4 linked regions of the Alligator mississippiensis genome follow. The protein of the gene in region 1 interacts with the protein of each later gene in a biochemical or structural test. Links are inferred from orthologs where the notes say so. Each region holds a gene or a part of one and is shown on either strand. Other genes may lie near its edges. The genes, in order: CRK, ARHGAP32, MAP4K1 and ABL2.

Region 1 (7,979 bases):
CAAATCGGGTCTCTCAAGTGGTGTACAGCCCAGACAAAGTTACCAGTATGGCTGTAGATCAACACAGCCTACACTTCAAATCACAAGCCAGAAAAGTATTTCCTTAATAACCTCAATCCACTTGTGAAAAAAGGAACCGAGGAGGGCGACGACTCCAAGTGCCCGCACACCAAGGACACCACCCATGTGCTCTACACTGCCGTGCCGGCAAGCGGGCGCTGCGCCCGGGAGGTCACAAGCCTGCTTTTCCCCGGGGCAAAGGAGAAGCCTGAGCACGTTCCCCGGTTGCAGGTGGAACCGTCATTGGAGCGGGCATTGCAGCGTCTGCCCTTGGAGCTGGGCCATGTCTGCCACAACTCAACGGGATGGGCATGCACCATGGCTCTTGGGCTCACGCTGACTGCTTATGCGTCACCGTGCTAGTCACCCCCACTTCTGCTTCACAGGTTCCCTCCAGCGCCCCGAGTCTGGCTCACCAGCTGCCCGTGGACATGGCTGAAACTGCCAACTCCCCGACACGATGGATGTCACCTACATGGCCCAGACAAGTGAGCAATTCATTGGCTAGGTGGACGGCACAAAGCAGGTGATGCTCCCTCCTGTGCCCCCCGCCACGGTGCAGTCCTGAGGGGTGCGCATGAGGGGGAGGGGGCCCATCCCGCACTCAGGTCGCGGGCTACAGCCTCAGCAGCAATGCCCAACACCGGGCTGTAGTAGGGGCCCTCGCATCGCTCTTGTGGGGCTGGGCCTGGGCAGGGGAGAGCCTGGGGCAGGAGCAGTGCAGGGCTGCAGGGCAGGACTGAGGTCTCTTCCGAGGGGAGAGCAGTCCTGGCCACAGGTGCCCAGGAGCAGAGGGCTGGGCCTGCGGGGCATTGACAGGAGCGGGGTCTTTGTGCAGGAGTCCAGGACGAGCAGCGCGCGTCTCTGCTGGGTACAAGTGGGGGCTCAGCCAGGGCCGAGGGGCAGCCGGGAGAAATAGGGGGCTCCAGGACAGGGGTGAGGGGCACCCCGTGCTGGGGGGAGGGGGGCTGAAGGGTAGGATAGCGCTTGTTGGGGGCTTTGCCCCACTCCGCTTCCCCGCCTGGAGCCAGCTTGAAGGACAGGAGGGACGGCAACGCTGAGAAGTTTTCTCAACAAAGTATGTGAATACTCTGCACGCGTGCGCAACGTACGCGTTGTCTGCAAAAGTGAGGACACTGCTGTGTACACAGAAGCGAACATAACGGTGGGGAACGCGTTACACCGCTGCCCCTCGCTACGACGAGTAGCAGGATCCCTGCGGCTGTTACGGTGTGTATTGCGCACGCGCGCCCCCCCCCCCTTCTTGTGTGTGTCACACCCGGGACAGTGCCGAGTTCTTGGACGTCCATCTCGGAGCGGCACGTGCTCTGCGCCGCGGGCCCGCAGCCGGGCGCCAGAGCCGGCGGGAAGTCTCGCACGGCTGACCCCCGACGGCGGGCTTCCGCGTCGTTTTCTCTTTAAAATAGAGAAAATCAGCGCACGTCTTGTTAGCAGCGATTCGCCTCCCCTCCCCCGGCCGCGCCGGCGGAACGGGCCCGCGGGGATCGGAGTCGGACCAATGGGCACACGGACAGTGACACTCTCACCAATCCCAAACTCCAAATAGACCGCGGAGAAGGCGGGAGACCACCTGGGCCCGCCTCCTCCGGCAGAGGCCAATCAGAGCAAAGAAGGGCGGAGCGGCTCTGACCCCTCCCATGCGGCCGCTCCACCCAATCGCCTCACGCCTCGCTGTAGCCAATGGAAACGCGAGGCTGCGATCCCGGCCCTGCCGCGCTCCCCACGGGCCGTGTGTCCTCCCCGAGCAGCGCGACGCCGCCTGCCCCGGCCGCGGGCCCTGCCCCCGAGCCAGCCAGCGAGCGACGCCTTCTTGCTTCTTCCCTCCCCGCCGGGATCTCCCGCCTGCCCGAGCTGCAGGGGCGCGGCCGGAGCCGCTTCACTCTCGGTCCCCGCCCGTGTCTCCCGGCTGCAGCGCGCGGTGCGCGCCACGGGGCGGCAGCACTGAGCGCGCTCTGGTTTCTCCGGCTGTTCGCTGGCTGCCGGGCCCAGGGCGGCGCTCCGGGCCGGGGTGCCGTGCCCCGACCCCCGGCCGCCAAGCGCCGTGCGAAACATGCGCCGAAGGCACCGAGCCGCTTCCCGCCCTGCTGCCCCGCTGCCGCGCGCGGGGCGGGGCGGGGCGGGGCGCGGCGCGGCGCGGCGCAGGACGGCAGCACGGCGGGGTTGGTTGAACACTGCAGGGAGGGATGCGGGACACGGGACTGACGGACCCGGCCCCTGCCCCTGCCCGTCTAAACACGTGGCGAGGCGCAGGCGCCGTGGCATTAGGAGAGCTAAGCGGTTCCCTCCCCTCAGCGCGGAGACGGGGCGCGGCGCTCGGCTCACGCTGTTCGCTGCGGCGCGTCCTGCGCACACGCGGAGTGCAGATCTCGGGACACACGTCGCTGGCACACACTGCTCTGTCTAGGTGCAAGGTCGTCGAGTGCACAGCGCCGAGCACTGGCGCTTCAGTGCCCTGCTCCCCACATGTCACACCGCGGTCCCAAGGCCGCGCTAGAGCTGGGCTGAAGCGAGGCCTGCAGTGTTTTCCAAACAGCCACGGGCTGTCCTGTACCTTAGAAAAGAGGCAGCATCGGGCCGGGAGCGGGACACGCGCGGCCTCCGGGCCATGGGGCGTCCCCGCCCCTCCCTTGCCAGCCCGGCACTGCCTTCTCCGCGCCCGCCGGTCAGCTGAAGGGCGCCGCGGGGGATCGGAGTTGGACCAATCGGCAGGCAGAGCTATGCACACTGTCAATACAGCACAATAGCCAATCAGAATGTGGCCCAGGAGGGCGCGTTCCTCTCCCCGCCTTTTCTCTCCGCACAAACCAATCAGAGCGAAATAGGAACGGAGCCGTCCTAGTCCCGCCCACACAACCCTCGTAGCCAATCACCGCATTCACCTCTGCCAGGTGCCCGCCCGGGTCTCCCCGCCGCAATGCCCCGCGCGGCCACAGGAGGGCGGCTCTGAGCCCGGCTTTTCCTCCGCCTTCACGGACTGCGCCAATGCGCCGACGGGACCACAGGAGGGCAGCACCGAGCAGCGGGTTCGTCAACCCTCTGCTGCTCCGCTCCTTGTGGCTGCAGTGCTCGGAGCGCACCACCGGGGGGCAGCACTGAGCCGGGTTTGTCTTCACACCAAGTGCGGATGCGCGAGACACCTGTGATACCCGCACTCACTACAGACACTCGTGTGCGGTGGTGTGCAAGGGTGAGAGAGGAACACCTACATCACTATCGCCACTGAGAGAGACAGAGAGCGGTAGGAATAGGATCACTGTGTTACACACACGCTATGTCCATGCCGGTACACCCCCGTACTGCACTCCTCTCTGCACAATGTAAGTTCTTCAAAGTAAGCGCCGCAATGACCAACGCCGTCACTGCACCCCTGCTCTCAGTATTGGACTGCTCTACACCAAAGGGCCCAAACTCTCCCTAGAAGTGAACCGAGGTTTCCATTTTATTTTCCCGTTAAGAAGGGGTAATTTGGTGCTTTGCAGGGTGCTCTCCAGGGAGGTCTCGGCGTCAGCGCAGAAGCGAACGGTGTCCGCGGGGCCCACGTGCACCCCGTCGGTCACCGCCCTTCTGGCGTTGGTCTGTGAGAGCCTGGCTGCCCGCGCCCGGGGTCGCAGGGTCCCGCACGACCCGCCCTGGGCGCCAGAGCAGCTGCCGCAGCGCTGCGGGCCCGCCCGCGGGGGCCCGGCCCGGCCCGGCCCGGCAGCGGGACGTGGGCTCCGGCTCAGCGGGCGGCGAACGCGCCGGGCTGGGGCGCTGGGGATCGCAGTCGCCCAACATTTCCCGACAGCCAATCAGAATGAAAGCAAGGGGCGGGCGAGCCCTCAGGGCCCGCCTCCTCTGGTAGAAGCCAATCAGAGCGAAGCTGAGCTCTCCCGTGCGCCTTTCCGAGTGACTCGCAGCTCTGCTGACAAAGACAGCGCCCAACGGGAGCACGAGGCTCGGATCCGGCCCTGCCGCGCTCCCCGGCCGGGATCCATGCCCGAGAATCGTGCGTCCGCCCCGAGCAGCGCGAGCCGCGCCGGCCCCGCCCGCGGGCACTGCTCCGGTGACGCCCCGAGCGAGCGCGGCCTTTTTCCTCTTCTCTCTCCGCCCCTGCCCCGGCCGCACCGCGCAGCGCAGCGCAGCGCAGCGAGACGCACAGCCCGGCGCGCTGTCTCTCCGCCCTCGCCCCTGGCTGCAGTGCCCGGCGCGCGTCACGCGAGGGCAGCACCGAGCAGGGTTTTAGTTCCCTGGCTTTTGTTCCCGGCTGCAGGGGCGCGTTTGTGCCACAGGAGGGCGGCGCGGAGCCGGCTTTCGTGCTCTGCTCTGGTGGCCCGGTTGCAGTGGGCGGGGTGCGGCCCAGGAGGGCAGCACCGGGAGGGGTTTGGTTTGGTTTGGTTTTGACCACGCTACGCGGATGCATGAGTCCAAACCAGTTCGGTGTGTATGAAGTGCAGCTATTAAAATACACTGAGCTGCAAAGATCATATTTGACTACCTAAAGCGATTCCCCTTGTTGCGGAAGGAGGAGGAGAGAGGGATAGATCGGCAGGATCACTGTGTTTATTGTGGCACGTGCTGTCATGCATCCCTCGCTACTAGACACATCTCGGCACAGTTTCAAGTTCTTCAAAATAAGCGCGCCGTCAGTCAGCACGGGACTCTTGTACAGAAAGCATCCCCAGCTGCCCACTAGCATTGAGCCGCAGGGATTTCTTCCAGTTCTCACTGAACAGCAACGGGCTGGTTTTCATTTCTTTCTTTCTGTAAAGAAGGGGGACTGAAAAAGACCTTCCCGCCTGGACCGCGGACCACGTGGCCGAACCGGGCCATGCCCCCGCCCCTTGGAGCCACCGCGCACAGAGATGACGTTGAGCGCTGGCGCGCGACACGTCACTTCCGGAAGGTGAGGTCAGCAGAGGCGCCGCCATTTTGGGTGGCGGGCGGGCGCGCGGAGGGCCGGGCCGCGGCGCAGGGCCTATGGCCGGGCAGTTCGACTGCGAGGACCGGGCGAGCTGGTACTGGGGGCGGCTGAGCCGGGCCGAGGCGGTGTCGCTGCTGCAGGGGCAGCGCCACGGCACCTTCCTGGTGCGCGACTCGGGCACCATCCCCGGCGACTTCGTGCTGTCGGTGTCCGAGAGCTCGCGCGTCTCGCACTACATCGTCAACAGCCTGGGGCCGGCGGGCGGGCGGCGCGCGGGCGGAGAGGGCCCCGGCGCCCCCGGTGAGTGCGGGCTGCGGGGGGGTCGCGGGCTGCGCTCAGGCCGCGTCGCCCGGCCCCGGCCGCGCTCCCCCGCCCCGCCCCGCCCTGCCCTGCCCTGCCCTGCCCTGCCCCGAGCGGAGCGGAGCGGAGCGGAGCGCGGCCCCGACCCTGCCGCCTCCTGGCGCGGCGCGGCCAGCCTGCGGCGCTACCTGGCCTCGGGCGGGTGCGGGCGGCCTAAACCAGGAGACACGGGGCCAGTCTTCCTGCTGCGCCTGGGGGCCGGGCCGGGCCGGGCCGGGCCGGGGCGGGTGGCGCCGAGGCCCTCGCTTGAGGTAGGTGGCCTGAGGCGACCCGAGCTCCGACATTGCCACCCGATCCAGGCCCCAGCCGTCCCCCCGGGGCCCGGGAAGGAACAGCAGCATTTACGGAGTTTAAAATCTGGTGTTTATCTAAAGGGAAATTGAACAGGAAAATTCAAAAGTTAATTCAAATGTCCTTCCAAAGTTGATATTTGAAGAGAAATTGAATTGGACCTTCCTGGAAAAGAGTTGTATTGCGTTCTTTTTTCAGATCGGGGCCGTGACCGTGATGAGTTTTATGATTTCTTTAAGGGGCGCTTTGAGATGCAGTATGGCAAAGTTGGATGCGATTTGAAAAAAAATAGCCAAGTAATATTTAGCTACAGCATGAGGAACACGCCTCGTCTGTGGGTATCTCACGGTAACGATGTTTGCGGGGAACGCCGGCTTGCTGCCGGGTCACGCGCTGGGCGCAGGCTCGGTCCGGTGCGGCTGGTAACACGATCCCCGTGTCTGTATAAACAGGAACATGGAATAGGAGACGTCTTACCTGGGTGTGTGGCAGCAGTAGAAGCATAGCATACAACGTAGTTCTAGTGTTCGCATTGAAAAAAGGAGTAGAAAAATTGGGACCTTTTGGAGGAGCGATTACAAAGGCTGGATACTAGCCTTTATTTATTTATTTATTTTTTTACAAAAAAGTGTGTGTGTGTGTGTGTGTGGGGTGGGGGGGGATATATTCTGTATTTCCAGCAATAACACACTGAACACACTGTTGAAGTTGACCTGGCGTATACGTTGTTTTGAAAAGAGAGTATTGACTGTGTTCAGGAAAATTAAGTTAGATATGGGTACGTTGCTTAGTCTGTTGAGCCTATTGTCTTTTGCTTTGTGGCATGCATAACATTTGATTTGTAGGATTTATAGTAATTTGGTAACAGATTTGTGATTCGTATACTTTGTAAGGCTGGTTGGGACCTCACTTTTCCAGCTCTAGCTTTTCCCTCGTTTATCTTGACTACAGAAAAAATAATAAGTAGAGTAGTTCTTCTGTTGCAAAGAACTCAGACCATAGCAAGTCAGGGGTTTAATGCAGTGGATCCTTATGTGAAATCTCTGGGTTTATCTCGTGAATCATGTTTGTACACCTGAGAGTGTTAATGTGTGGCAACCTGCATCACCCTTGAAAAGAGCTCGAGGCAACCCAGGGTGCTGCAGCACCCCAGTTGAAAACCACTGGGGTAGAGAGTGGGATTTTAAAAGGTACAGTTGAAGAGCACTGGTCCCACTATTGAGTTCCTAAGTGACTTAGGCAAGCTTTGGAAGTTCAGTCAATGTGTTCAGGACCTTGAATAACCATCCTGTGGTGGTGTGCATTGCACAACACTGGCTAAAACTTCTTTTATTTTGCATATGGGCAGTTCCATTTAACAAAGTGAGATTACTTATGTGTAGGTCTTCCCATGTTTGAGGTTTGGAACCTTTCTTCCTTTTTGTGTCTTTGTGACAAGGTATTTAGCAGAGCTCTCAGATTCACTGCGATCTGGCAGGTTGCACGATGAGAACTTCTGCTCGGGCCTTGAAGTTGTGGTCTCTGGGCTGTCAACTGTGGGCCTTGGCACCCACACTGCCCCAGGGCTTGGAGTACAGCTTGTTAAGCGTTTAAAAGGCCACGCATCAGAAACTAACTCTGCTTCTGCCCCCTACTCTTCCGGAAGTGGATAGCACGATGCATCTCTTTTTGTAAACTAGTTTCCTAATGTGTTTACAAATCTGCTCAGGAGGTGTTGGGTTGTTACACGCTTTCAGCAGGGTAATGAGTAGATCTCTGCTAGGTAAGGAAATGAGTTTATGTTGCCAAATGTATAGTAGTAATTTCTTTATTTGTAGCTGCCTTTCCAGTTTGAAAAATTCCCTTTAATATCAGCAGATCATGTTTGCGTATCACATTGTTTATGATGCTTCATACTAAAAGTATATTTAAAACAAAAAAAGTTGGACTTTGAGGGGTCACGTGTTTTTTGAGATCTATTTAACAATACAGATACAAAAACTAATGAATAGAATAGCCAAAATCTATTAAAGAATGGATTTATTCTAGCTCATCATGAGAGCAAGAGAAATGATTGATGAAAATTGAAAAGCAGCTCTATGAAATAATGTTCTCTTGTCTTTCTAGGCTGCAGCTTCGTTTTTCAGTCATATTGAGTAATTACTGCATCTGCTCATTTCCAAAGTATTATTAATGATGGGAGGATGCAATATGTCCTAAAAAAATAATAGCATTTTGGTGTGCATAGTCGTAACAATTGTCCACTGACTTTTCAGGATGCTCTCTTGAAGCATTGCTTTGTCTCGTATGCTGTAAACTTCCTGTCCCACCTGTTTGCAAGATTGCACTATCTTGTTCTCCTCAAGAA
Region 2 (7,073 bases), on another chromosome or scaffold:
ACTACTGACATGCATTTTCCCCTGTGCAGAGACTACCAGGTTTAAATTTGGTATCATAAATTGGCAATACCTTAGGCTTTTCTGTATGCCTCTAGTGGTTCCGTTACTTTTTGGAAAAGTGCAGCATATTTATTGGCCAGCTGACTCTTAGAGCAACTATAGACAATAAATACTACTACTAATAATAATACTAAATTGTAACCAGTAGAAAACAGAGGCAAGCTGAACAATTCTAATGGAGTTTACTTGACTTTCCATTGTAGTAGTCTTGTGAATGTGGTGTTATCTTCACGACAGCCAAAGAAACAAGTGGAGAGATGGGGAAACCGAAACAGTTAACATTGGGCTTTATTTTCGATGGCTTACATATAAAACAGAGAAATCAGGTTTTACTGATGAGAGTGAAGGAGGGAAGAAAATGAAGGTAGAAATCCACGCAATCTTGTGTCAAAACTAGTCATAAAAGTGATTGGTAAAGCATATGGAAACTTTAGAAAAACAACATGGAGGTCATATCTAAAGTAACAAACTCACAGATAAAAAGAAAAGCCCTAGGGCTGGGTCAGGCAAAATGCAGCCTGAGGACCAGATTGGGCCCTCAGCAGACTCCATTTCCCAGCAGCCCCTGCCTGCGCCACTCCAGCCAGTCTCCATGAAGACCCCAGGAGTGGTGGGGCTGTGACAGTTCAGGGCCAGGGTCTCCATGGAGACTGGCCCGAGCCACACTGGCTGGGTGCACGGCTGGGCAGGGGGCTGCTCCGGGGCTAGGGCTGGGATCTTGCAGCAGAGACAGTGTGGGCCAAGGTCAGGGCAGAGCTGTGATCTGTTGCCTGCATGCTCTGGGTCAGGCTCACACTGCCCACATACTCTGGCTCGAGCCCATGCTGTCACCAATACAAAATCCTGGCCCCTGCCCCAGAGCAGCTCCCTGCCCAGCTGCACGCCCTGCAAGCGTGGCTTGAGACGGTCTCCATGGAGACCCTGGTCCTGCACTGTCATGGCCCTGCTGCTCCTCAGGTCTTCATGGAGACTGGCTAGAGTGACGCAGGCAGGGGATGGTGGGAAATGGAGTCTGGCCACCGGCCAGATCTGCCATTTTGCACACCCCTGCCCTAGGGTCTTAAACTTCAGAAGGGGCCTAGGAGACCTTAATTTAGACTTCCCTACATGGTGGAAAACAAGCCTTTAACAGGTTACAGTTATTACAGCTTTTACCAGGGGTAATGAAGAATCTTATACCCATAAAAATCCAAGAGGAACTGTAGGTAAATGGAAAGTATTTGGTCTGGAAACCAGGATACTTTCTCATATGAAAAAAGCCCCTAGCATCTTTGCTGTAACCATTAAAGACCAGACCTTAGGTGTTATGTCTTGCAATATGTAGTATTTTCAGTGAAACGTTGCTCTTGAGCACCATGGTGGGGCCAGGATGTGGTACACACTGAAAGGGAAAAGTGCCCTCCGTTGAATCAACACAAGTACATCTTGCAGTACTCCAGGGGTGCTGACAGATATACAGATCCCTGCTGTAAGTCATGGTGCTTCACAGGAAGCGCTATGAGTTACAGTGATCCCCCCACAACCCAACAGACATTCACTGTTGAGTCAAAGGGGTTAGGGGATTGGGGATCAAGCTCCAGTTTGGAGTGGCTGTATGTCTGCAGCTTCTCTCTTATAGCCCCATGCCCTTCCTCCCAGCTCCAGTGCTATCTTCAGGATGGGAATGGGGAGAAGTGAGGGGAGGAAGCTTTGTGGGGTTTGCCCAACGTGCTATGGAGGGTGGGGTGGGTGGATTTGAGGTGGGAGGGTGCTCCAATCCATCTGCCCCACCCTCCAGCACAGGCTGGGCAAGCCCTAAACTGATTTCTCCTCCCCTCCTTCCTGAAGACATCACTGCGGGCAGGGATCTGGTGCATCGGCCCTGCCCTGCTCCTGGCAGGGACTAAAAGAAGTTAGTGAAGGTGCTCTGCTTTGTAGTGCCTTCATCTGAATGCTTGTGTAATGAGGGTTCAGGTTATCATGCAGTTGTCATGTTTGACAGCATCACAAGAGAAAGCTGCAAAGCCACAGGCCATAGCCTAATGTCCCTCAAACAAATCACACACCGCTCTGCAATTTTGCCATCTTAAATGATGCATCCCACTTTAGCCAGTATTTCTTTGAACCCACTGCCTGCCCTCACTGCCACTTCAGGACATACTTATATACATCTTCATAGCATACTTTCTCTTGTTTCATGTGCAGCCAAATATATGTCAACATTGTTAAGTATCCTTCATCAGCATGAGTTGGCACGGAGAGACTAGAAGCAGTTCACACCTCTCAGAGCTATTGTATCAGGCTCTCTGCATGCTTGCAGTCATCACTACAACGGTGACTCTAACATTGTGTTTTGAAGGTTTTCTTTGTGACCGTAACAGCTAGACACATATTTGCTTCCCCCCTCCTCTTGAATGAAAGCTCAGCCTGCAAAACAATTTAGGGACCAATATGCATGTCCTCAGTCAGCTCTTTGTATTCTTCCAACACTCTGGCATAGTTTCTACCAATAATATTATCAGATAGCTGATATCACCAGGCTAGTCATATATATTTTAACAGCCCCACTGCCAATTGGCACAGGCAAAAGAAAACAAAAAGACAAAACAAAAACCTGAGAAGAAGCCAAGATAGGAATATTCCCAGGGCTGCATTTAATACTAACTGTCCCTCCCTGCTTCTCATAAAACTGTTTTTAAAGCACACCCTTCCCTGACCTTTTAAAAAGCAGTTTTGCAATCCCTATGTGTCTCTACCCACCTCCCACCTGTGCTGGAAGGCAAAGTAAACACTACAGCACCTGTGCAGACTGCCCAGTGCAAGGCACTTACTTGCCATACACCTCTGTGCCCGTACTAGAGGCTGGAGCGCTCTCAACGACAGACCTGCAGTACTAATTCTTTGGTAGCAAATACGCGCCAATAGCCACATTTTTAAAGCTATGTGGACAGTTAAAGGGACCGATAAGCAGCTATAGTATTGAACTGGCACTGAAACCCATAGGTGTTCGGTGCCTTTGTGCATCAGAAAAAGTCTCTAGATATGGAGTTGCCCACTTAGGTGTCTGTTTCAGAGCCTAGTCCCAAGTGCTTACAGGGCAGCACACACTAAAGAGGCTTGACGTGTCCTGCCTAGTGTCCTGTGTTGAGGGACCTGAGGAAGAAGCTCTTCCATGGGAAAGCGCGTCTGACGTCCCGACTGCCCAGCTGGTCCCAGAAAAGCCGTCGCGCTAGGAAATTGCTGCCTCTTGTATCACGTCTGGAGCATCAGGGCTGCCGCACGGCTCCGACACTCCCCGCTGACACGCAGCTCAGGTGCTTCGAGTGGGCCGAGCGCTGCGGTGCGAACGGGAGCGATAGGATGCCCGTTTGTCCAGTTTTATAGAGGACAGCCCGCTTTCCTGCTACTCCGATTGAGCCAAACCGGACGCCTTTATGTCAGACTGGTGGAAGTCTGCGGAGGAAAGTAGAGGACATAAAGGCGCCCGGTTTCATGTCAATTGGACAGAGTAGCAGAAAACCGGCTGTCCTGTGTGAAATGGGATGAATGGCCACCCTAGGCAGCAATGGGCCGGGGGCGCCTGGCGAAACACCCAGTGGCGCTTTCCGGGGTGCCCCTTGCGTAGGGGCGAGGTGGGCGGCAGGCGAGGAGGAGGCCTCTCTCACACGACTACAACTCTGGCCGGAGAACAGCATGAAGGACGCGTGCCCTGGGGAGCACGGTGACCACCCGCAGGTGGTGGCAGCACTTCTTTGGGGGGTGCCCCACCAATCTCAGGGGCCCCCCCCATTATGCCTTTTAGGAAACCCTGCGTGGGCAGGCGCTGCAAGGAGGTGGCACCTCCTCCCTTGCAGGTGGCCGAGGCCCCGCCCCCGGCCGCGCGGGGTGCCCCGCCCACACGGCGACTCGCGCCGCCGCGGGGCACGAAGCCCCGCCCCCTCGCATAGGCCCCGCCCCCCGCGGCCGGGGATGGGGATGAGGAGGGGCGGGGCCTGGCAGTGCGCATGCGCGCGGGTGAGGCGCGGGCGGTGAGTGCGGTGCGGGCGGGCGGGCGCAGCGAGGCGAGGCGGGGGCCGCCGCCGCCCGGCCTTCCCCTGCCCCAGCCCCAGCGCAGCCGGGTCAGTCGGCAGCCCGGGCCGCGTGGAGGACGGAGGGGGGGAGCCGGTGTCCCAGGGGCGTTTTGCTGCTTCCTTTTCCCTCCTCCCTCCCCTCCTCCCGCCGCTCGCTTCTAACCAGGTTTCTTTCTCCTCCCCTCGCAGCGCGGGGGTCGCGGGTCGTGGGCGGCGGATGGCGAGCCCGTGATGTGGCCTTGCCCGGAGCCGACGTCTGTGGGTCCGTGCGGCTGGTGGGTGAGTGCACGTTGACGGCGCGCCCCGTGTCTTTATCCCACGCTCGCTGCTTGCCCACCTGCCTGGCATTTTGGCGCGGGGGGCGCTTATAACGGCCCCCGCGCGTCCACGAGAGGGGCGTCCGGACCGCGCTACGTTTCGCGACCGTCGAGAGACGTCGGGGCTGGGTGCGGAGGCGCCCGCGTGCGTGACATCTGCCCGCCGCCGCTCGAGCAGAAAGGGACCCGGGGGTCGATGCCATTCGTGCCTCGTCCCCCCGGCACCTCGAACGCGGGCGTCGCGGTCTGTGTCTGTCGCCAGCTTGGTTTACGAGCGATCGAATTAGACCGTCCTCCCCCCTTCTGCCTTGTCTGGTACCCTCATTTGTTGCGTACAACTACACGTATGTGTGTGCCGGTAACTGTAGAAATCAAGCGTGGAGATGGTGGGTATACGGAAAATTAATTTAGACATTTCTCTCTGAACGGGTGCAATAAAACAGCACTTTGGACAGAGACTCGCGAGGCCTGAGCTGTGACTAGAAGCCCGGTGTCCTGTAATGACTGATCCTGCTTATCCTGGGACTTTCCTCTAGTGTGACGATGAGGGAGAAGGCTAATAGATGACTCTTTTTTGTGTCATATAGTTGTCTCGTTTAATGGGAGAGGTGTCGTACTGAGCAGTATTTTCCGGTACGATCAGAACATTTCTCTCTCCGTGATACAGGACTCTGCGCTCGTGATTCAAAGACTGTTATAGCAACCTCTGTTCAGCGCGTTTGAAATGCTGGGATCATAGTAATGTAGCTGAGGAGTAAACATGGGATAAATGCATCCATTTCCACAGAACAGGGACAGACCTCCTAACACGCGTACTTGGTAACATACAATTTGTTTCCTTCCCCGCAGATGTCTTTTCATTCCTGTTTTGCAAAATTGCGTTAGCCTTGGGTGAACAATTTATTTTGACTGGCATGTAAAATATTATACTTGCATACATTCATTGTGATAAAGAGCAAGCAAGTATATTTTGTTCCTGGGCTGGTAAATTTTCATGATGATTATCCAAGGACTCTTTGTGCTACACAGTACCACAAACTTACCCTGGTATATTTGACAGTTTTATAATGTTTGAACATATTGTAGCCATCTGGAAGAATCAAACTTATATTCCGTGGAGGATATGACACGATTGGGAAGATAAAAGGAGAAAAATGGGGTCAGAGTCTAGCAGCATGCAGCTGTAAGACCTATTATTTGGGACAATTACAGAATTAAAAGCATTAACGTGGTGAAAGTAGGTGTATTTATAACGTACTGGAATATCTTTACATTGCCAGAAGCAAACTGGTTTTACTGAATTAACTCGCAGTTCAGTATTGCATTGTGCCATCTTTATCTGAAAAGTGTCCATCCAAAATAAAGTTGCTGGTGGAGTTTCTGAATTAACAAGTGAGGCTTGAGCCTGATCAGCCTAGCTGGCAGTAGGGATTGATGATTATTAACCTTAAGTGTTTATGTAGGTTGTTAACAAGACGTTGCAGTCTAAATGTGTTGCTTCAATATGGATCTGTCACTGTCTTCTTTTAAATTTTAGTTTTGAGCCTTCCTGTGACAGAAATAAGGTTATTTCGCTGAATACCAGGAAAAAGAAAACTTCCTAGCTTAGTCTTAAACTATGGAACAGATTTCCAAGGAAGTTGTCTTTTTGCTTGGGGCACTTAACATTTAGACTGGGGATGGTACCAGCTAATGTAAAATAGGGAGCAGTCTTGCCTTGGCTGTTTTCCCTGGAGCTTGTCATTTTCAAACTTACCTTCTGAAGAGTAAATATTTTGCCATTTGCTTGCACCAGATCGCATAAACTTCAAAACGTTCTGTGTGGGAAGATCCCTGCAACCCCCATTTCAAATGCATAAGTTGAACTAGATGGTATTCTGTCAGTCTATTCAAAGTATGTTATTTTCCCCAGGATCCATCTTATAAATATTTCCTTGGCCACGGTTATAGGCGAGAGTTTGTTTGAAGGGAAATTCTGAATAAATTCCCAGGCCTTATCCACCATATTCTCTTTTGCAAACAAGTGCACTCCGGTTCTATCATAAAACGGGGAGGATTGCTTTCACTGGAGCTTCCTGTTATAATATTGGCAGAATATCTCAGTAACAGTCCCTTTCCATCTCTCATATCTGTAAGGGCTGTTGCCTTACATTTATTGGTTATGATGATACAACATCTGCTGATGTGCTGCTGAGGAAGGGAGAGAGATGGAATGGTGAAAAGTCTAAGGAGACATAGTTAACTTGAAAGGATTCTAGAAATTTGAATGGAGCAATTGCTCTCATGGGACTACAACGATATTGCAGGGGGTCAGGCTAGATGATCTATTCAGGTCCCTCCCGACCCTAGCTACTATGAATATGTGGCTTCAGCCAGGTGTAAGATGGGTTTGATTCCTTGCACAGCAGTTGTAGTGTTCCTGATTCCTAGTCTGCTGCTGCTCCTGCTGTTTCAGCTACAGGCCCTCTACCATGCTGAGGCAGCAAAGTTGTGTTAGGTTATGCCATCTTGTTTGTGGGGTAGTTTTATGATGGGCATGAGAACGGGGAAGGGGACTAGGAAGAGACCCATAAAAGTTTCCTCACTTATCCTAAGCAAAACTTGCACTCGGAATTGAATATCTGATGGGGGTAATCAGCTGTGCCAC
Region 3 (7,232 bases), on another chromosome or scaffold:
TGCTGAACATTCCTGCGATGTATATATTTAGCCACTGGCTGGAAGCCACTGTTTATAATGAGGGGGCTCCCAGGATGCAACAAAAGGGTGTGAGGCACTTCTAATCCCCACCCCACCTGCACCAGAGGTGGTAAAATGGAAAGGCAAGGTCTGCCCAAAGTGCTGGCCTGAATGACAGCAGCTCAGTAAGGAGTTGGGGTGCAGGAGACGGGGTTGAGGGGCCGCACACTGCTCTGGGTTCAGAAGCCCCAACCTAGAGCAAACATCCCCAAAAAAGGGAGGCAAGCAGCAGGCAGCTCAGCACCACAGGGTTTTCCCCCAGTTTTCTACCATGCAGAACCACATAGAGACCCTCAGGGTCTCCCAGGTAGCTCAAGGGCCAGTGGGATGGAGGCCAGCTCTGCCACAGCCTGCTGAGGGCACTGAAAGAGCCAGAGACATGCATGGCAGCTGCAACTCAGCACAGAGAGAACCCGATGCCGCAAAGCAAAGATGTGGCGGCTCCCAGGCAAAGAGCAACAGTGTAGGCCTCTTCCCCTCTCCCCAGCACAGGGCACAGAGCTGCTCTCGTGGGGCCTTGAGGAAGAATACCCTGCCTGCAAAAGGATCACCTAACCACCCCACAAAGTTGGTCTGATGAGAGATCCCCCACAAATATCCATGCCTGGTACACAATTCCTGGCCAGCAGCAAGATCCAGGTCCATGCAGGAGCGGTGCTGTGAATCCCAGGGTGCCCATTTCTGACTCAGCCATGGAACCCAGAAGCCCTGCTTTCCCTTAAGGCCTTTGAATAGCAATTCTCAGGCAGAGACTCCCTCCAGGGTCCCCGTACTGGGCAGCTGCTGCCCCAAAGAGGCCTCAGGGGGCAACCCCCAGAGCAGCACCATGACCACAGGCCGGCTGCGGTGGCTCAGGCCCTCCCCACAAGGGGAAGCATGATCAGGTCAGCAACAGGCTGGTTCTTATTTATTGGCCACCTACCACCACCTGGCGGTCAGAAGAGTAATGACAGCAGGACCAGCTGCCAGGAGTCCTACTTAGGCTTATTAGTGTGGGGCTGGTTACCTCACCCCAGGAGTCCCGGGTTCTTTCCCTAGCTGGGCAAAGTGTTCGTGCTCCGCGGCAGAAAGAGGAGGTCATTATTCCTCCAATTCGTGGCTGGGGGTGGGAGGGTGGACCCTCAATCCAGCCAGCAACTGTCCAGAGGAGAGAGTCTGTCTTGGGCAACATGCCAGTTCCAGCCCAACAGCACTCCCACCCCCCAGGAGCCTTACCCAGAGCTGGGGCTCCCCCATCCTCCCACCCCTGAGAGGAAACAAGAAAAGATCTCTCCAAACATTTATTGGCCAGGGCTGGATTAAAATTTAAAAAGGAATTAAATAAGAAATAGACCCAGAGCAGGTTCTCACAAGCAGCACAGATGGTAGTGGGCAACAGGGGCATCACAAGGAAGATGCCATGATGCTGGAGACACCTGAAAGAAGGGAGGACAAACAAATTAAACTCCAGAACAGTGACTCCATGTGCTCCAGTCCACAAGAATTCAGCCCAGGGAAGATGCCCATGGGCCAAGGCAGGACCTTGACCTCTGTGGACAACTCACTCCAGCCAGATCCACACCCCTGTCCCCATCCTCAGTACCAGTGGGGCCTCGGCGCTTACTGTCAAAGTCTATTTTCTCTACAATGTTCTTGGGTTTGACGCTCTCCTCCTGGTTGCAGATGAAGACCTTGCCAGGCTCAGTTTCTGTCCAGCCATATTTGCTCATCCAGACCTTGAGCTGGCTGTCTGTAGAGAAGCCAAGGGAATGAGCCAATGGTAGTTTGGCACAGGGAAGGCGAGGTACGAAGGCACATGTGTTTAAGCAGGGGGTGCCAAGACAGAGTAGATCTTCAAGGGAAGTGATAAAGCACCAAGTCTGCCCTAAGACTGCCAGTGGAGAGCAAGTAGGGTGACTAAGCTCAGCAGCGCATGCAATAAGGGCCCCAGGACCCCTGTAGCTGGGACAGCATTCCCAAAACCCAACCCAAACAGCCTGGAGTCACACCAGTAGCAGTACAGCTCACAGACTCCCTTGATCCACTTTGGATGTAGGGCGAGGGGCTCATTTCTGAGAGGGGTCTGGCTTCCCTTTGGGGAACTTACCTGAGAGGTCTCCCAGCATCTCCGCCAGCAACCACCGATCAACGTGCTGGTAGGTGATCCCCACCACGTGGCAGATGACTGTGGAAGGAACACGGACACTTGGTGCTACTGGCACATGTTCAGGCGTGCCCCAATCCCCCGATGCACAACAAGCTGTTGAACCCCTCTGCTGTGCCCTGCTGCCCCCACACGTGCTCCGGGGCTCAGCGGCTGCTGGCTCAAGGGAGGACAACACATTTCCAGGTCTCTATCGCCGTCCGGATGTGCCAGACACGAAGAGGATCCTTGCTGCAGGGAATTCACACTACTTGGCACAGGGGCAACGCGTAGGAGGTGCACCCCCCGCCCCCCTCCCGGTCAGGCTGCACTCCCCGTTTAGCCAGCGGGCAGGCAAGAGCACCAGTGCCTCCCCTACAAGTGCTGCCTGGGGAGCAGGACTGTCAGTAGCATGGCTGCTTTTATGATGAGAGTCAGGTCGCTTGTGAGGCACCCCCTGGTCGCTGACTGGTGTTGGGGGAAGGAGGAGCACGTGCTCCCGCTGACTCGAGACAGACACCCACAACTTGGCAGAGCACCGAGGGCAGCAAGGGACACAGCAGGAGCCTGTCACAGCCGGAGACGGGACCTGGACCTGAGTCTGAGTCTGCCCAAAGGGGATCGTGCAACAGAGCAGAGGGGACAGCAGCCACTCACATTTCCTAACAGAGTCCTCAAAGCCAGTGATCCCGTCCAGCAGCTCCATGTTCTCATCCAGGGCTTGCTGCAAAACAAAGGAAGAACCGTGCATTCGCGTCGGTTAGCAAACACCGAGACAGAGACGGACGCTTCCTGACCCGAGGCCACGAGCTCACAACGCAGCGGCTACAGGGGTGCCGCCAAGGAGGCACGGGGGCAGGGAGGGCGCACGCTCACGCTGCGGAGGCTCCCCGGGCTCAGGGCACCAGAAGGGCAGGACAACGCTCACCCAAAAGGCCTGGAAGTGGCAGGTCTCCAGCAGCTCCCCCAGGTAGAGGATCTGCCTGATCGGCCTCTCTTCTTGCTGCGACGAGCGGGTCAAGGGGGAAAACAGCAAACGCAGACCCCCGAGTTCACCCCCGGGCGGAGGAAGAAGCCGCAAGGCTCGAGGGAGGCCAAGTGTCACGCCCACAGCAGCAGGGAGACCCCTCCGAGCCCTCCCACGGCCAGCGGGCAGCCACACGCTGCTTCTGACCCGGGGAAATAAAAGGATACGTGAGCCTGGTCGATCATGCACTTGCAGAGGGTGAAGTCCGTGTGCGGGAGGTTGGTCAGCGCCTTGAGCAGGATCTGAGCGGTGACGGTGGTCTGGAAGAATGCTGGATTGAACTGGTACCTGAGGAGGAGGGTGCACGTGTTAGTATGGGGGGGGGATTCGCGTGGTGCCCCCCCGCCGCCCCCAAAAGCAGGGTGTGGCAGGGGAGACGACGCTCACAGCTTGAGCACGGCCAGGTTGGCCTCCAGGTCGTAGGCGTTCTCCTTGGCCTGCGTCTCCACGTAGCGCTCCAGCGTGGCCAGGTTCTCCGGGTTGTACCTGGGGCACAAGGCGGCAGCGGCTGAGCACGACTCCCCCCGCCCCGCCCCGCCCGCCGGCCCAGCCAGGCAGCTCTACCCCCACCCGCCCCGCCCCGCGCCGCCGCCGCCGCCTCACCGGTCGATGCCCTTGAGCAGCTTGCCCACGTTGGCCCGCATCTGCTCGAACAGCGCCATGGCGCGCGCGGCGGCAGCGGCTTCCGGGGCCGCGAGCGGGAGCAAAGCGGTGCCGGGCTCTTCCGGCCGCGGCAGCTTCCGCTTCCGGCGTCGGGCCTCGCCGGGCATGCTGGGGCGGGGAGGGCCGGCGTGACACGCGTGCGCACTAGGAGGGGCCGGGGAGGGAGGAAAGCCCCGCCCGCAGTGAAATACCCCGCTAGGCCCCGCCCCCTGGGCGGGCAGGCCACGCCCACGCTCCCCCGCCCGCTGCCGTCGCTAGGCAACACCCACCCTTAGCAACCAGACCCTCCCTCCCCTCCTAAGTGCTCCCGCCCACCCCAGATGCCCCTCCCCTCAAAAACTGCCCCCCTCCCCCAAGCGCCCCCCTTCCTCAGCCTGCCCCCCCACACCCCCAAGTGCCTCCTCCCCCCTCTCATGCCCCCCTCCCCCCAACCGCCCCCCTCCCTCAGCCTGCCCCCCCACACCCCCAAGTGCCTCCTCCCCCCTCTCATGCCCCCCTCCCCCCAACCGCCCCCCTCCCTCAGCCTGCCCCCCCACACCCCCAAGTGCCTCCTCCCCCCTCTCATGCCCCCCTCCCCCCAACCGCCCCCCTCCCTCAGCCTGCCCCCCCACACCCCCAAGTGCCCCCTCCCACCTCTCATGCCCCCCTCCCCCCAACCGCCCCCCTCCCTCAGCCTGCCCCCCCACACCCCCAAGTGCCTCCTCCCCCCTCTCATGCCCCCCTCCCCCCAACCGCCCCCCTCCCTCAGCCCCCCCCACACCACCAAGTGCCCCCTCCCACCTCTCATGCCCCCCTCCCCCCAACCGCCCCCCTCCCTCAGCCTGCCCCCCCACACCCCCTCAAGTGCCCCCTCCCACCCCAGATGCCCCTCCCCTCAAAAACTGACCCCAGTTGCCCCCTCCCCTCAGGGTGGCAGCCCCCCCTGGTGCCCCCTCCCCTCCAGGACTGATCCCCTCCACTCCCCCCCCCACCCCAGCAACAGCAGCAGAGAGCAGCGCTCCAGGTACGTTTTCATTGGCTCCTGCGAGGGATCCGGTGGTCCCAGCAGGGCGGGGCTCCCCTCCCATCTCGGGCGGGCCGTGGGGCTGGGGGTCCGGCAAAAAGGGAGCAGGGGTGGGGGGGGCTAGGAGTCAGAGCTCAGCCCTGCCGAGCTGCCGCTCGAAGCCCCCCCTCTTTGTGCCTCAGTTTGCCCCTTCCGCCGACTGGGCGCAACGATCCCAGGATCAATTAATAAATAAACGCTGGACTCAATTAATAAACGCCCCTCCCTCCCTGCCACTGCCTTGCTGCCGGTGTGGCTGGGTGGCGGGCGCCGGGTCCCTGCCCCCCCCCACGCCGACAGGGCTGGGGGGGGCCGCTCGGCCGTGACATCCTGCCCCCGAGCGGGGACAGAGCAGGTGATGGCAGGGCGTCTCCTTGTTTCCCCGCAGGCGCCGCGAGGTGTCACAGCCGCGCCGGGCGCCACACGCGTGCTGCTCGCGCACACGGACGGGCACGAGGGCCAACGCCAGCCGCTCCCGCACCTGGGGCCGTCGGGGAGGCCCTGCGGAGCGGCCTCCCGGGGCCACGGCGCTGCAGGGCTCCCACGTGCTGTCTAGGGGGCCCCCTGGGCTCGCCGCTGCGCCCGGCTGCTCAAATCAGGAAATAAAAGCGAGCGAGCGAGCAAGCGTTATCAGCCCCTCCGATCACACACACGCGCACTCCTGGGTGCAGGGCGCCGCAGGCTGCACGCACGGGCGGGCGCCCAGACATGGATGCCCAGGACCGAGCCGCACTGGATATTTCCACCAGGAACCCCCAGGACGACTTCGAGCTGCTGCAGAGAGTTGGCGGCGGGACGTACGGGGAAGTGTACAAGGTAGGCCCGAGGATGCGTCCCGCTCCCTTGCCTGCATGCGGTGCCGAGCGTCGCATGGGTGGGGGACGAGTCTCCACTACCCTGCCGAGACCCCAGGGTTTTGGGGTGCTGGGGGAACACGTCACCCTTCGTGCCCACGTGGGGCGAGGGCAAGCGGTGCAGGGAGCTCCGGGAGCCACGGCGGCGAAAGCAGATGCAGGAGGGGAAAGGGCCGAGCGGGGCCAAGACCTGCACCTGCCCGGGACAGTGCTGGGGATGAAGGCGTCAGCAGGGCTGGCACCCCCTGCACCCCTGCCTGGGGCAGCCAGGCGTGTGGAGGTGCTTGCTGCCGGCTGTGGGTCGTGCTCGGGGCCCAGGGTGCTGCGGGCGTTGGACTCAGCCCCCTTGCACAGCCCTCGTGGTCCCTCGCCTGGGTTTGGAGGGGCAGAAGAGAAGGGCCCAGCTCGGGCCTTGCTGAAGGAAGTGCATTGGCACTGATTCCCTCCGTACCCCCGTGGGCGTAAATCAGCAGAAGCCCCCTGGAAACAGCGTGGGCGCGAGTAGGGCCCGATCCCTCGGCTGGGGTGGACTCTCGGAGTCAAGGGGACGGTGTCCCCAGGGCCCCGGCGGGTGGGAACGGATGTCCCTGTCACCTCCCCCCCCCCCGTGCACAGTCATCTTCACCGGAGGGAGTGGGTGTGAAATGCCACGAGCTCCCCACGCACCACAGCTCACACCCACTCGGCTCCCAGCCTGCCCCGCTGGAAACCGTGTCAAGGCAGCTGGGGGGCAGGGGTCAGGCTTCCCTGGGCCCAGCGCGGCTGGAGTCAGGCCGCTTGGCCCACAGCGTCGGGGACCCGCAGTGCCCCTCAAACATGGCGGCTTGGAGGGAGCAACATGGCAGCGGGCTGTGCGGGGCTCCTTTGCCCACTGCTGAGATGCGCCCAGCTCTGGGGTGGAGCAGGGAAGCTGTTCATTCAGCTGGTCTAGAAAGACAGCCACCTCTGGGCTGGGGCAGGGCAGCTGGGGCAGGGCAGCTGGTTGCACAGGGACCCCGAAATGCAGCTGGGTGCCTCTGCGGGGGAGATGCACAAGATCTGGGAAGGGAGGCAGCTTCAGAGGAGGGTTGAGAACAGTTTGGGGCGGCAGTGGGACAGGCGGGCACAGGCTGGGCACCGAGGTTTGCAGGCTGACGGGGCAGGGCCGTGGGAGGAGGGAGCCTGGTGCCTGCTGAGAAACCCCGGGGGCCTGCCGGTAGCACCACAGCCCCGGGTGCAGGTGCTCCCGCCTGCCTCCCAGCAGCTCCAGCACAGGGTCCGGTGCCCCAGCTGCCAGCAGAAATGCCCCAGGGGCTGGAGCCGGGGCTGAGCACCGGGACCACGGGTCTTTGCAAGACCGTCAGTGTCACAGGTGACATTGGCCTGTCCCTTGATGCCGGTGCCCCTCACTCCTGACCCCACACCGGTTCTAGCCCCAGCCCCACCACGACCCCCAGGCAGGGCATCCTCCCTCCAGTCCCATCC
Region 4 (7,907 bases), on another chromosome or scaffold:
CAGTGTTCTTATCCCTTCTATCATTTATCCACAGCAAATAATGCTGACTATACTGCCCCTCTAACAGAAGAAGGAACTGAACACGGATATAACAAGGTACAAAGCTAGTCACAAAGAGAAGGAAGGAAACCAAATTAAGTGGAATGCAATAAGCAGCCAGAACCGTTTGGGGACAAGGAAAATAAGGATCATGCATTGAAGGAAGTTCAGCAGATGAAGTGTGCCTCCTGAAGATGATCAGGGAGCCAAAGTACTGTAAAGGGAAGAAAGACTAAGGACAGGAGCAAGAGAAAGCAACAAATGCAAGTGGAAGAGAGATAAAAGTAGGGAAACCCCTCTGAAAAAGGAAATGAGTTCCTGATTATCTAACTGTGCCCAGGCTACACAAAGGGCTTAGGTTGCTGCCTGCAATGACTTGTTTTAATATAAGTATTCAACTCTGACTAGAGTGCAGTATGGTAAGTTCTCTCTAGTGGCTTTGGTTGTGGTCTCCAAGGCACTAATTAGTTCTGGTAAAATGTAACTGGGTGCAGAAACTCATACTAGCAGGACTAAAGTATTGATTGAAGCAGCATTGGGATTCAGAGCTTGCACCTGAATGTCATGCAAGTTTAGTTGTTTAAAAAAAAAACAGACAAAAAAACAAAAACAAAACCAGCCACCTGGCTTTTTAGGGAACCCAACAAATAGGATGATGCATATTCACCTTGAAAATTCCAATGAATATATCCCTCTGAACTGTTCACAAACAAAGTAAAGCAAACACCAAGAGCTTGAAAGTAAAACTGTCTCCAGGCATTTTCACTGTACAAGCTGAAAGGCAGAAGCAAGCAATATACTGTACATAGCAAAACAATTCTGTAACGTTTAATAACCTACATCATTAATACCACAGGGAAATACTCTTACTGCTGGGCAAATGACCAGTTCTGCTCTGAACCTGGACTCATTCCATGCGCCCTCTGTCCTCAGCTATATAGAGAGATATGTACAAAGACCTAAGAGAGCAGGAGCTGCTTCTTGCTGAGGAACTGTGGGGGGCCAATTCTGTGGCTCTGCCAAGCAACAGCTGAAGGACCCCTCTCTGTGCCTCAGTTCCCTAGAACTTGGCTAATAATCCTCCCTTTCTTCAATCCTTTGCCTACTTTGCCTGTTGAGAGACCAAGCAAGGAAAGGATTTAGCACAATGAAGTCCTACTCTTGGCTACTCTTGCAGCATAGAGACATACACAAAAGAGTAAGTTGAAAGAGCAATGAAAACCTAACCCCAGCTTAACTGCATCACATTTAACCTACATAAGGTTCCAAAAACAGTACTATACTTCCTCTGAACACCCTTCCCATTTCCTGCCCTAGTTCAAACTTGTAGACATTAAGAAGTTACCAGCAGTCTTTTTGACAATCATTTTCCTATTTTAATTAGTATCTCTGTCCCCTGTGGTGCTGTCTGAAAGACTTAGGAAGCCAAGAGTAATTGGCTGACTATACAAGAGAGAGGACAAAACTGAGTATATGAATATCATCAGAACAGCTCCTTAACAGTTACAGCTCTTATAATTAACTTGCAATTATAGCAGGTAAGACATTTAGAAGTGCAAATTTTAAGTCAGAACCATGTCTTAAGTCAACAGGCAGCATATCAACAGATATTTAGACTCACACAAATACACACTTTCTATTTAGGAAATAAATTTAGTGTTAGAAGCTGCCTGTGTCATTTTGTAAATACCCACAAATCCCTGCACCTGCACTGATTTCCTATGGCTGTCCATTATCAGCAGCAACAGTGGATGATATTTACATTAAAGAACCGGCAAGCTGTTTAAGATCTTAATACTCATTGCTTGTTCTGTTGGATTTTGGAAAAATCTATGCTCTCAGAAGCATTTTGCAGCATGAATATGGGAGCATTATCTTCCTCACCTGCAACAAAATCAATTAATGTTCTCAGAAATGGATTCAGGTCTTTAGCATCACAAAGTGCACCAATATAAGACTTCTACTCTTGATAACCTGCCAGGGTTCAGTGCATACCAGCACAGTGTAAGTATGCCACACAAAGAAAAGAAAAAGGAAAAAGTGTACAGGAAAGATGTGGGATTAAAGATTGTCGCATCTATTGTTTAGGCTTTTTTTCTAAGCTGACTTTCTCCTGCGGAAGCTCCCTACTTTCCACCGACTTTCTCCCTTCACAGGCAGCACCACAGAGGGTTGTTGACAATGAGAAGGAAAAGACAAGCACATTGGGACAAGCAAAGCTGGACTTCAAACACATGAGAGTCGGTTGACAGAGGACCGAGTTATTAAAGCCAGGCCAAGAAGCGTGAGCTGCCCCTAGGCCACTGCCTGCCAGGAGCCACCCTCCTCACTGAGCAAGTGAAACACCATCCCACAAGCAGGATGACAGTGCTGTACCCCCAGACAGAGGAGGGGCAGCCCCGCTCAGTGACAGTCCCGGCTCTCCAGCACCCTCAACACCTGCTCGGCCCCAAGGGACATGGGAACATGGGGGAGAAGCTGCCAAACTTGTCACAGCCACGGTGGGACATAATGTGGGCGGGCGCGGGTAAGGCAGCGGCCCAAGGGAAAGCCGCCTTCTATCACGTCCCTCCAGGGCCGGGAAGCCCACGCGGGAGCCCAGCCCCCTCCCAGCAGCGCCCGCCCCGCGCCCCCTCCCACCGCGGGAGGGGCCCAGCGCCCCCCGCCCCCGCGCCGGCTCCTAGGAAGACCCCGGCCGGCCCGTACCGTGCTGGGTGAAGATGTTGAAGCCGCCCTCCGCGGCGCGCCCGGCCGCCTCCCGCCGGCGCCCAGCGGGCCTGGCCGCGCTGCTCCCCCGCAGGCCCCGCGGCGGCGGCGGCTGCTGCTGCTGCTGAGGCGGCGGCTGCTGGAGAGCGGCGCCCGGCTCCCCGACGCGGCCCACCTGCTGCCCCATCGCGCCCCGATCACATGCCGCCTCCGCGGCCCGGCCCGGCCCGGCCCGGCCCGGCCCGGCCCGGCCCGGCCCGGCGGGCGGCCTCGGCACCCCCGGCCCGGCGGCTCCCTACAGGGCTGGCCCCAGCCCCGCCCCGCCGCGCTCCGGCCTGGGAGTCACGGGCTCGCCCCCTCAACCCCCGCCGCCATCTTAACCACAGAGCTGCGGGAGAGGGGGCAGAGTGGCTCCCGCAGCCACCTCCGGTCCTCCGAGGGGGTCGGCCCCGCCCCGCCCCGCGTGTCCCCTCCTCCCCCTCCAGTCCCCAGGGCCTCGTAGAGCGGTTCGCTGCAGACCTGCGGAGCAGGATCCTCGGGGAACGAGCTCATCTCCTCAGATGCTGTGCAAGCGCCTGAGGAAGTGACCCGGGCTCACCCGCGCTCCTGCTCTCTCTATCTGATGTCCTGAGTCTGGCCGGTGCAAATCTACCTACCCTGCCTTCTGCCTCACCTCAGGCTGACAGGGCTGAGCACCTCTAGGGTTGCCAACCCCGCAGGATTGCCCCGGAGTCTCCAGGAAATAGATACAGTCTCCAGGAGACTGCTGAGAGGTACCGGAGAGATCAATGATAGGGCATTCATTCAAATAAATTAAACGTTGAGTCCAATTTATACAGTAGTCCAGTGGGTTTTAAAAATGTAATAGTAATGTGCATTTGCCTTCCTGGCGTGAAGTCTATGCATCGTAATCTGTAACTGATATACGCCGGCACGTTTGCGCTGTGTCTCACAAATTTGTTGGCATTCGGGAAACCTGGAATAGATTTAAACAAGTTGGCAACCCCACCTCTCTGTCCCCAGGGCTAGGCTTTTGGAGGTGATGCCATCCCCACCCTTTTTCCAACACAGGATTTTAAGAATATAAGAGCTGCCATTCACTGCCTCAAACCATCGGCCCATCTTGCTGGGTCTCCTGCTTCACACAGGGGCAAAGAGAGGATGCTGAAAGGGGGAGTGAACTGGGTCTGGCCACGGCTTTTCCCAATGTTCCTCACACTTGCAATCTCCAGCATTTAAGGTCTAGGAAGTTCTGATCCAGAGGCTGTATCCCTAAATCCTGTGCTCAATAGCTACTGATACCCCTTTCCTCTAACACTGTGTCCAATGTTTCCTCGGGTGGGGGCAGAGGGGGGGATGTAGCCCTCTACCAGGGACTTCTTGAGCATATAGTAACAGTTCACAGAAGCAGGACATTGGCTGCCCTGGTTCCCCTTGCTTTACGAGGCTGTGGTAGGTTTGGGTGTTAGGTCTGTGTTGTGTCCGGGTTGAGGGCAGTCTTACGTAGAGTTTAAATAAGGGTTTTTATGGGATGGTTAGGATAGGGATGATCCTGCATCAGGCAGGGGGGTGGACTAGAACGGTGTTTCTCAACCCATAGGTCGTGACCCAAAAGTGGGTCGCAAGAATATAGGAAAGGGTCGCAGACAAACTTTAAAAATGGATTCTCCCTTAAAGGAGAAAAACATGGGAAACTGGGGGTATTTCCTTGCAGGTTGGCAGAGTTTCAGCCTGTAAGGGGCTGTTTGAGGCTCCCCTTGCTTCCACACACCCACTCCTACCCCACAGACTGGGGGGGCAGGAGGCAGCAGGTCAGGAGTGAGGGGCACCAGCAGGGCAAGGGGACTGTTTTCTACTCAAACTATTTATTGGGTCAGGATTGGCCATCAATGTTTACAAATGGGCCCTGGTACAAAAAAGGTTGAGAACCACTGGATTAGGTGACCTCTGGAGGTGTCTTCCAGCACTACTTCTCTTATGACTCTAATCTAGGGGTGGGCAAAATGCTGCCTGTGGGCCAGATGCGGCCCACCAGGCCATTCTATCTGGCCCATGGGGCCCCTAAAAATTTTAGAAAATTAATATTTATCTGTCCCCAGCTTCCTGTCATGTGGCCCTTGATGGCTTGCCAAAACTCAGTAAGCGACCCTCCGCGCAAAATAATTGCCCGCCCCTGCTCTAATCCCTTCTTGAATTTGGCTTCCACAACATCTGGTAGGAATGAGTCCCACACTTTTTGTATAGGAATTCATCCCCCTTCCCAGCCCCATTTTAGATAAGCAGGAACAAAAGTATGGTGGGTGTTCAAAGCCAGTCCAAATGGTGAAGGCTAGAAAAAGTTTGCCCCACACTGAGGATTGCAGAGGACTAACCAACCAGTGGCTTCTAAAACTCAGTGAGATTTTCTGCCCCTGCATGGTAACTGACATAATCACCAGTTTGGTAAAAATAGTTTTGTTAACATCAAGGCACATTAAGACAAAAACTTACATAAAAATTGCTATGTATCTGCATCAGAAAATGTTCTGATTAAAAGGATAAAACTCTTAAGTACTTAAAAGCTAAGGGAGTTCACCACTGGGAGAAAGTGCACAGAAGGTGGAGAGTTAGGGAGAGAATTAACACTTTATTAATGAAAGTTAAGAATCATAGCTTTACATGGCTTTGTAGAGACTGAAGAGAATGTAAGACCCTGCACATGGTAGCCACGTGGAGCACAGATGTCATATGTTGATGCAATCTAGAACATGCAGTTAGTCAAGCAGTTTATGTCAACCCAGGGTAAAAGGGGTGAAAATGTTTTAATCCAATGCTATGCAAAGAAAGAACAAAACCCTGTGCATGATAACCACATTGGTACAGAGTTGCAAGGTGGCAACACATTCTTAGATAATGGTTTAGCATGCAGTGAACAATTGCTAGGATGGAATAGTACAAGGCATAAAAAATGTTTGCTGGTTGATGGCATGTGTGGGATGTCTGTGTCATAAACAAACTTCCTCTGCCCCCACGTTTTGCTGCTCTCTCTTCATTTTTCACTTGGCTAAAATCTAGAGAATAGGTAATTCAGGGGCATATATTTCATCAGGGTTCAGAAGGGATCTGTATCCCCTCAAGGCTACAGGACCTGAACCTGTTCAGCCTTCACAAGAGAAGGCTGAGGGGGGACCTTGTGACCGTCTATAAACTCACTAGGGGGGACCAGAAGGGTTTGGGGGAGACCTTGTTTCCCCTAGCACCGCCCAGGATAACAAGGAATAACGGCCACAAGTTGTTGGAGAGTAGGTTTAGATTAGACATCTGTAAGAACTACTTCACAGTTAGGGCGGCTAGGATCTGGAACCAACTTCCAAGGGAAGTGGTGCTGGCTCCTATCCTGGGGGTCTTTAAGAAGCGGCTCAATGCCTACCTGGCTGGGGTCATTTGAGCCCAGTTTTCCTCCTGCCCAGGCAGGGGGTCGGACTTGAAGATCTACAAGGTCCCTTCCGACCCTACTTCTAGGAAGGCTTGTGCTCGTACCATTGGCTGCCCTGTACATGTGTCATAAATTAAACCAGTCCTCTGTTCACTGCATTAGCTCCTCACTAAATATCAACTCAAATTCAAGTTCTCTTCTTTAAAGTGTGGGACCGATATACATAAAGGTCCAGGATGCAAGTGGAAGACACACTCCTTTGACTCACTAAAATGCACGTCACAAGAAAGCACTGTAAAAAACACACTTTTAATGGAAATAGGGAAGGTAGAAGAGAAAACTGTGTAGGGCAGATGCTAATTGCATTATTTCACATCTAAAAGTCTGTGGCAGGGCACTGTTGGTGCCTGCCACTTTAAGTGCTGAGACAAGCAGCCAGCAGGTGCTTGATTGCAGCAGCCATTTTAGATCTCTGGCCACCTATATAAACAGAGCTGTTCACTACTGGTAAGTTAGGTAGAAATATTGGCTGGCTATAAGGCTGTATGTAATATCTTGGAGGTAAGGGCAGGAGCTTAAGGGGTTGGTTTTGAGGCTCCTGGTCCTGGGCATGACCTAAAAGCTGTACCCTGCTGGGGATGGGTAGCCTGCTGGGGCTCCTAGTGGTGTTGGAGTCCCCTGGAAATACCAGGCCAATTACCACCCTGGTGAAAGGTGGGGTGGGGTGCCTTAACTCCTGGCCCCTACAACACTGTGGCTAAAAGGAGGCCAGGCACAGCTATGGCCCTGTGATCCCAAGTAGAATGCAAGACCTAGATAAGGCCTGGCATAGCTATGGCCACCTGAGATAGGGAACTCATGGGAACTGAGAACTGCATGCCAAGGCCAGTATGTCTGACAGCATAGTTCAGAGCCTTGGTTCTACTGTAGTAAGAATTCAAAACCCACTATTCTGTAATATGGACATAGCTGATGCCCAAATTGTAGAACTTGAGTTTTATTAGCTCTCCAGTACCATCGCACAATTCTCTGGGGCTGAATTTTCTGGCCTCCTACATGCTCATTTCCCACTTGCCTTCTGTGCATTGGAAGCTACTAGCCACTTTTGGTATAGCCGGTCAGAATTTAATCCTTCAGTCCCTGCAGTTCCATATCTGCAACCCCCAGATAAGTTAAATAGTGCAACTTGTTGCTGTCCTAGCTGACCAAAGGAGCCCACCAATGCTCTGGTTATCTATAATGGATACAGCAGTGAATGTGTTTTCAGGAAATAAGCTCCAAATTGGCACCAGTATAACATCATATTCAAGAGGCTGATGGAAGAGAGAATCAAATGGATGGCTAGTAGCGCTATGCAAGCCTTCGGTAGCCAATTTGATTCAGAGGAGATTCAGCCAGAACTGACAGCCAAATCTCCAAATCCAAATCAAATCAGAACACCCATTTAAAGGTCTGAATCGAATTGGAAGTCTCCAAACTGATTTGGAGTGTTTTGGAGATTTGAAAGGCTTGCAGCAAACAAACTAACAAGAGGGAGGGGGATAGGGTGATCTTCCATACATGGAAAAGACTAGGGCGGGGGGAGGGAAAGACTGCTCTGACATTGACATCTGTAGCTGGCCAGTGACTGTGATGTTTCTCTGAGTTCCCTTACAATCAGTGCTCTTGGAGAGGGATGTAGAAACAACATATAAAGCTGTGTCTGAAGTTACCTGTGCCTCTTGTGAGCCGTCTCTGTCTTGGAGCG

The links.
Region 2: the proteins of CRK (region 1) and ARHGAP32 form a complex in vitro, tested with the Homo sapiens proteins (2 studies listed by BioGRID and IntAct, with this or other methods). The link is inferred for Alligator mississippiensis from reciprocal best matches to the Homo sapiens genes CRK and ARHGAP32.
Region 3: the proteins of CRK (region 1) and MAP4K1 form a complex in vitro, tested with the Homo sapiens proteins (2 studies listed by BioGRID). The link is inferred for Alligator mississippiensis from reciprocal best matches to the Homo sapiens genes CRK and MAP4K1.
Region 4: of the proteins of CRK (region 1) and ABL2, one has a biochemical effect on the other in vitro, tested with the Homo sapiens proteins (2 studies listed by BioGRID and IntAct, with this or other methods). The link is inferred for Alligator mississippiensis from reciprocal best matches to the Homo sapiens genes CRK and ABL2.

The regions. Positions count from the first base shown.
Region 1 is NC_081837.1:284,083-292,061, reverse strand, and holds the start of CRK (adapter molecule crk), read left to right. Parts: upstream 1-4,976; 5' UTR 4,977-5,037; coding exon 5,038-5,281; intron 5,282-6,263; exon of another isoform or gene 6,264-7,318; coding exon of another isoform or gene 7,319-7,394; intron 7,395-7,979. UniProt on the Homo sapiens protein: Involved in cell branching and adhesion mediated by BCAR1-CRK-RAPGEF1 signaling and activation of RAP1.
Region 2 is NC_081839.1:24,945,676-24,952,748, reverse strand, and holds the start of ARHGAP32 (rho GTPase-activating protein 32), read left to right. Parts: upstream 1-4,070; 5' UTR 4,071-4,157; intron 4,158-4,298; 5' UTR 4,299-4,340; coding exon 4,341-4,388; intron 4,389-4,408; exon of another isoform or gene 4,409-7,073. UniProt on the Homo sapiens protein: GTPase-activating protein (GAP) promoting GTP hydrolysis on RHOA, CDC42 and RAC1 small GTPases. May be involved in the differentiation of neuronal cells during the formation of neurite extensions.
Region 3 is NC_081838.1:1,988,781-1,996,012, reverse strand, and holds the start of MAP4K1 (mitogen-activated protein kinase kinase kinase kinase 1), read left to right. Parts: upstream 1-4,217; 5' UTR 4,218-4,875; intron 4,876-5,302; 5' UTR 5,303-5,622; coding exon 5,623-5,730; intron 5,731-7,232. Other genes in the region: EIF3K (eukaryotic translation initiation factor 3 subunit K), read right to left, coding at 1,444-1,475, 1,664-1,789, 2,147-2,224, 2,840-2,906, 3,111-3,185, 3,377-3,497, 3,597-3,695, 3,813-3,871. UniProt on the Homo sapiens protein: Serine/threonine-protein kinase, which plays a role in the response to environmental stress. Appears to act upstream of the JUN N-terminal pathway.
Region 4 is NC_081828.1:51,224,617-51,232,523, forward strand, and holds the start of ABL2 (tyrosine-protein kinase ABL2), read right to left. Parts: upstream 3,004-7,907; 5' UTR 2,933-3,003; coding exon 2,746-2,932; intron 1-2,745. UniProt on the Homo sapiens protein: Non-receptor tyrosine-protein kinase that plays an ABL1-overlapping role in key processes linked to cell growth and survival such as cytoskeleton remodeling in response to extracellular stimuli, cell motility and adhesion and receptor endocytosis.